Sus scrofa: one gene and its partner. The protein of the gene in region 1 binds, or shares a complex with, the protein of each later gene. Links are inferred from orthologs where the notes say so. Each region holds a gene or a part of one and is shown on either strand. Other genes may lie near its edges. The genes, in order: ASF1B and histone H3.2.

Region 1 (3,816 bases):
TACAGTAATTTTGTTTTTACATGTCTTTCATCATCATTGGTTTGGGGTTTGCTTTCATACATAAGGGAGGACCATCTTGTGCAGTGGTTAGATTATAAAGTTAAGGCATAAAGACAAAATGTAATGTAGTCAGTTTACCCTTAAAATTTCTCAGAAGGTTAAGTACACAGTGTTACCTGTATGCAAACATGTCCTGTATTCAGTAGGAATGAGTTTTTGCTGTGTTGATTACTGACACCCCATATCTAACAAAAATAAAGTCACTTTTAAGCATACTTCTGCTTAAAAAACTTAGGCAAGTTTAAGGCAATTCCAATTTGTAGATCCTCATTTTGATCATCTTCTATCCTCCACAGATGATTTTATCAGATCTTCTAACTCTTGAGTAAGTATTTCGCTGTTGTAGTCCTGGTTAGTTCTCTGGTTTCTTTCTGGCCTGTGCAGAGGGAGTCACTATGACCCATTTGCCTGGCTGCTTGGTTTCTCTCTTCCGGTCTTGTGATTCTTCTCTTCCAATCAGCACCTACACGGTCTTTGTTTAGGTTTTGCCTGTAGTGCCAGGGCCTGCTCTATTGTAATCTCTTTTTCTTTTTTCTTTTTTTTTTTTTTTTTTTTGTCTCCCCCTAGCACATTAGTTAAATACACCCATATGTCACTCCAGTGGTGATGGGGAAAAGGCCAGAAGGAAAAATACCAAATGATAGAGCTGCTTTAGAAAGGTGAGAACAGGAGTTCCTGTCATGGCTCAGTTGTTAACGAACCTTACTAGTATCCATGAGGATGAGGGTTCGATCCCAGGCCTCACTCAATGGGTTAAGGATCTGGCGTTGCCGTGAGCTGTGGTATAGTTCTCAGATGAGGCTCAGATCCCACGTTGCTATGGCTGTGGCGCAGGCCAGCAGCTTCAGCTCCAACTGGACCCCTAGCCTGGGAACCTCCATATGCTGTGGGCACAGCCCTAAAAAAATCAAAGATGAGAGCAGAGCTAGCTTGTTTGCTGTTCATCCAAAAACATGTTATTTCTAATTGTGTCACTACTTATCACAAAAATCAATAAACTTAGCTCCTCCCTGCAGATAATAAGAGACTGGAGTTTGACTGAACCCCAGTGAGCCCAATGGCCACCATATCCTATAGACCTGGTAGAGTCTGGTAGGAGAAGCCCAGGGTGTAAACTGCAGAGGGGCAGGAATCTAGTGTATCAAGGAAGATCATGGAGCTCAGGTGACAAACTTCTGTAGTTGTAACCCACCATTGCTGTGCTTTCAAAATTGGATGCTCTTGTGGGACATTAGACCAAGGAACAGGGCAGCTTCTAAGACAGTTCACTTCCTGTGAAAATCACAGCTTGTGAAATCTCCCCCAGCTGCTGGGGCTGTAGATTGTGTAATTTCAAAGAACCTAAAATAAGTTTCAGGTCTCCTGCCAAATTTCCCTGTACTAGCGTGACCTTGCCCCTGATACACTTGGACCTCCTGCAAGAGGCCACTGCGGTCACTGGGAATTTCCCGTGATTGATGGGCAGGGTCTCACTGAGCACTTTTCCTTGTATCTTTCCGGAACATCCCCAGGCATGGGGGTCCCCCCTACTGGATGGGATCAAGAGGGTTGTGTTGCAAGGATCACCTTAGGATGCCACATGTGTTGACTGAGTTGCTGTTGCCTGAATGTCTGAGAGCAGGCATGACTTGGTACTGGATCTGGAGGACCTGGGGACTGGCTGGCTCCCCCAGCGACCTCATCTTCCCTTCCTGCCGGCTGGCTCTCCTGGATTGCAATCTGCTGCCCTGCCCCAGTTGTCGAGGGATCTACTCAGTTTGGTGGCACCAGTCCCTGTGTGTGAAAGAGGATGCTGCTTCCTATCCCAGCACCCAGTGGGCAGGGCCCTAAAATGGCCCAACTCCCTGCTATTCCCTCCTCACCATGCCTCTGAGGCTCCATCACGTGGCTCTTAATTCAACCTCTGCCATACGGTTCACCCTCAGGCTCTAAGAGGCCCGAGTTTCCTGGGAGGTACAGAGTCAAGGTCTCCTGGCAAAGCTAGGTCCACAGAAAAAATTTCACCACTGAAAACAGAGCTTCCCACTTGCCCTAGTGTTCAGGATCATAGTGCCTGTCACTTATTGCCTAGTGGATGTCAAATGTTCTTGAGAATAAAAATCTATCAATATATTAAGGACCTATCCAAAAATAACACAGGAAGACCCTTGCACAACCTTCTTGCTGCCTAAGCTATTTCAATTACTTAACACCCCGTGTCCTTGCAGACCTGGAGTGGAAGATCATTTACGTTGGCTCAGCTGAGAGTGAGGAGTTTGATCAAATCCTAGACTCGGTACTGGTCGGCCCTGTCCCAGCAGGGAGACACATGTTTGTCTTTCAGGTAAGAAAGACCAGGCCTTAGGCCTTGACACCTTGAAACACCTCCATCTACCCAAATGCACACAAAATGGTTCATCAGTCAAAGTTCAGGTTCACATCCTGGCTCTGCTCTCAAGGACTGTCTGACCTCTCAGAGGTACTTCAAACACCTCCTTCTCCACCTTTATGTTGTATGTTACCATGAAACCCTGATTTATAATTGATTCTCATTACTCATGGGAGTTACGTTCTGTAAAGTTACTGTGAACGCTGAGTTAGTGAATTAGTGAATGCTGAACCATTGCCCTTAGAGGAAATGCAGGACTGTTCCTGCAAGTCACTTTTTTGTCAACCAGTTAATATTTATAATATTGTTTTATGCATTTTTCCATTTAAAGACACCTTGTTTTGTATTATTGTTGACTTACTCACATTGCATTCATAGCCCACAGCACTGTAACTCATGCCTGAACAAAGCTTATCTAACACACATATTTTTCTCCATAACGTACAAAGAGCCAGCCCTCTCACTTTTAGGGACTCAGTATGACTTTGGGGCCCTTTTTCTTTTTCCCTTCTTTTTTCTTTTTTTAAAGTTTTATTGACATATAGTTGATTTACAAGGTCATAATAATTTCTGCTGTACAACAAAGTGATTCAATTATGCATATACATACATACATTCTCTTTCAGATTCTTTTCCCACATAGATTGTCACTGAATATTGGGTACAGTTCTCTGTGCTCCATAGCCGGTCTCCATTGGCCAGTCATTCCATATGCCTCAGTGTGCATATGCCAATCTCAAACCCCCAGTCCATCCCCCCACTCCCAAGAACCCTTTTAAATAGCAAAATTACCAAGAAAAATGCAGAACCTGTGGCCCTAAGACCATAGTGAAAAAGACACATGTCCACAGCCTGAGACTGCCTTGATCTACCTCAGCTGGGAACATGTGCATAGAGCTACTCAAATCCCACTCCTGCTCTGTGCATGTCCTTGAATGACCATAAAAGCCCCAGAATATTGATTTCAGGGCTACATGTAAATTTTAGCGAATAGCTGAATTTATAAATGTGGAATCCATGAATAATGAGGACCCACCGTAGTTGCTAAATGGCTCTCTAATCCACCATCACAGGGGTTGTCAGAAATGCAGATATAGTTTGATTCTTAGACACGCTGAAGTTTGAGAGCCTCTGCTCAAATCTATTCACTTACCTGATCTTGGCTATTCCCACCCCAGTCTAAGCAGCCTCATCCCATCACCTAACTCCTCACCCACCTATATCCGGTCCACCAGCCAGCCCCAACTTCCCTACCTGACAACCAGGGCTGGCTTCCTAGGCATGTGATTCATGCAGTTACACTGGGCCCTGCACTTGGTATAATGTTCTGCTGTCCCTGACTGAAACCTAACTGATTTTTGAACACGAGACCCTGTGTTTTCATTTCA
Region 2 (2,546 bases), on another chromosome or scaffold:
ACGCGGCGCGAGACAACAAGAAGACGCGCATCATCCCCCGCCACTTGCAGCTGGCTATCCGCAACGACGAGGAGCTGAACAAGCTGTTGGGCAAAGTCACCATCGCCCAGGGCGGCGTCTTGCCCAACATCCAGGCCGTGTTGCTCCCCAAGAAGACGGAGAGCCACCACAAGGCAAAGGGCAAGTGAGGCCGGCATCCGGAAGCCCACCCAGCCCCGTCCGGAAGGGGCACCTGTGAAATCAAAGGCTCTTTTCAGAGCCACCCACTCTTTCAAATAAAAAAAAGAGTTGTTACACTAGCCAGCTTTCTCCTTAACTCCACCCTTGGTAGTAAGCACGGAGGTGGGCGGAGGGAGTGCCGTTTGCCCTCTACTCCCTGCCGTTCCTCACTCGCCTCTGGAACTAGGTGCTTTAGCCGTTATTTTGCTGGGAAGCGGGTGCGGGTGGGAGTGTGGCAAATCCTAGGATCTAATTAACGCAGGTAGAGGTAGCAAACCTTGCTTGGGCGAGCCAGGGTCGACTCGGCTGCTGAAAGTAAGCAGTACCAGGCGGCCGCGACGCTCTATCTCGAAGTCGGATGCCCGGTGAGCAACTGCAGTTACTTCCCAAGCCTCTGCCCAACACCTGAGGTCTAGCACCAAGGGGACGTTCCCTCGCACACGCGCACGCCCCGTACACCCCAGTCGGTTAGGGGATAAAGACGGTTTTCGGGAGCGTAGCGGACGTGGGTTTTGGCTTGAGCCCACCGTCTTTGGAAGGGGAGTGGGGGGAGTGAGGAGGCGCCTTCGCGGCGGGGATGGGGATAACAGGTCCTGAGGCTCTCGGAAGTGGAGTCTTGCTCCCGGAGAGGGCGCAGATAACCTTCCGATCCGAAAAGCACCAAAGGGCCGGGGGGCGGGGGGGGGAAGATCGGCCAGACTAGCAGCTAACCTAGGGGGTTCTGACAAGGTAACAAGGCGTTCAGGGGGCGGGGGTTCGGTCCGGGAGGTAAAAAGCGTGGAAAGGAGGCGGGCATCGGGGGTAGCGTGTTCTAAGGGAGCGAAGGGCTGAAGAGGAACGTTCTGACACAGTCGCGCTCAAAAATGACTCTCGCCGGGAAGAAAGGAAAGACGAGGCCGGGAAAACTGCTGGCAAACTGGAAAGTAGAAAGGGAGGGAGGGAGGGAGGGTGGGGGGCGGGCGGAGGAGGATTCTGCCCAAGCCAATCAGTGGCGCTAGGGCTGGTGAGGTCACAGCCAATAGAGAGCCAGCGCGGGACTTTCAATTATTGTCCCGCCCAATCGGGACAAGCCTGTGCCTATAAAGACTGCTGCGGCGGGCGTCCCCCTGGTTACTCTCCCTTCGCTGCGCTGGTAAGCTCGTGTTTTGGCTCGCCGCCATGGCCCGTACTAAGCAGACTGCCCGCAAATCGACCGGGGGCAAGGCCCCGCGGAAGCAGCTGGCCACCAAGGCGGCCCGCAAGAGCGCGCCGGCCACCGGCGGCGTGAAGAAGCCCCACCGCTACCGGCCGGGCACCGTGGCCCTGCGGGAGATCCGGCGCTACCAGAAGTCGACCGAGCTGCTGATCCGCAAGCTGCCCTTCCAGCGCCTGGTGCGCGAGATCGCGCAGGACTTCAAGACGGACCTGCGCTTCCAGAGCTCGGCCGTGATGGCGCTGCAGGAGGCGAGCGAGGCCTACCTGGTGGGGCTGTTTGAAGACACGAACCTGTGTGCCATCCACGCCAAGCGCGTGACCATCATGCCCAAAGACATCCAGCTGGCCCGCCGCATCCGCGGGGAGCGGGCTTAGAGAAAGAAGTGCGCACTCGGCTCGAGGTTCCATCACATCCAAAGGCTCTTTTCAGAGCCACCCACAACCGCACTTGGAAGAGGCTGTGCCACTTTTCCGCGCTCTGTCCGGCGGACTCTCCCATAGCTCGGGGAAGGGAGGATGTTCGAGCCGGCAGAAGCACTGACTGGGCTCCGGGTACCCAAGTGGGTTAGAGGCCAGGTGTCCGGTCTAGCCCCCTGCTTGCTGGCCGCCTCCTGGCGCGTTAGAAGCTTTTGAGTCCTTCAAGAGTTTGGTCAGCTGGCTTCTCCGCTTTCTTGGGCGCGGCCATGGGTCCTCCTCAAAGGGCAAGGCGTCTCCACGGCGGCCCAGAACCGTAGTCTGTTCCAGGGAGGGGCGGGGGGGGCGGGGAGGACGGGTTGAGGCCGGGCGGGGTCACTAGGGGACGCTCAGGATTCGCGCTCCAGGGCGCGCAGGGGCCTGGCCTTTTACGCAGCTGGGAGCCGCGCGAGTATGGGTGCGTCGTCACTCCCCCCACACCCACGCCAACCCGGTGCGTTTCTCTGGCTCGGGAGGGAAATGGCCACCTCCGTCCGTCTGTCCATCCGTCCTCGTTTCTGTCGGGTAAAACCAGGCAGTCCTGCCTTTCAAGGGTTTGTGATTTGGGTCCTCCCTACCACCCTCTGCTTTCCCCCCCTCTCCTTTTGTCTTTATGCCTGCATCCTCAGCACCTGGAAGTTCCCAGGCTAGATGTCAAATCGGACCTCTAGCTCCTGGCC

Evidence for each region.
Region 2: the proteins of ASF1B (region 1) and histone H3.2 are in contact, whole or in part, in a crystal structure (PDB 5BO0), measured with the Homo sapiens proteins. The link is inferred for Sus scrofa from reciprocal best matches to the Homo sapiens genes ASF1B and H3C15. Residues at the interface, in NP_060624.1 of Homo sapiens: Val45, Ala48, Ser50, Glu51, Asp54, Thr87, Asp88, Val90, Val92, Thr93, Val94, Leu96, Arg108, Gly110, Tyr111, Tyr112, Asn114, Glu116, Leu140, Asn143, Arg145, Thr147, Phe149; in NP_001005464.1 of Homo sapiens: Asp107, Leu110, Cys111, His114, Ala115, Lys116, Lys123, Gln126, Leu127, Ala128, Arg130, Ile131, Arg132, Gly133, Glu134, Arg135.

What each region holds. Positions count from the first base shown.
Region 1 is NC_010444.4:65,066,175-65,069,990, forward strand, and holds part of ASF1B (histone chaperone ASF1B), read left to right. Parts: intron 1-2,267; coding exon 2,268-2,383; intron 2,384-3,816. UniProt on the Homo sapiens protein: Histone chaperone that facilitates histone deposition and histone exchange and removal during nucleosome assembly and disassembly. Cooperates with chromatin assembly factor 1 (CAF-1) to promote replication-dependent chromatin assembly.
Region 2 is NC_010446.5:99,197,866-99,200,411, forward strand, and holds histone H3.2, read left to right. Parts: upstream 1-1,377; coding exon 1,378-1,788; downstream 1,789-2,546. Other genes in the region: histone H2A type 2-A-like, read left to right, coding at 1-188. UniProt on the Homo sapiens protein: Core component of nucleosome. Nucleosomes wrap and compact DNA into chromatin, limiting DNA accessibility to the cellular machineries which require DNA as a template.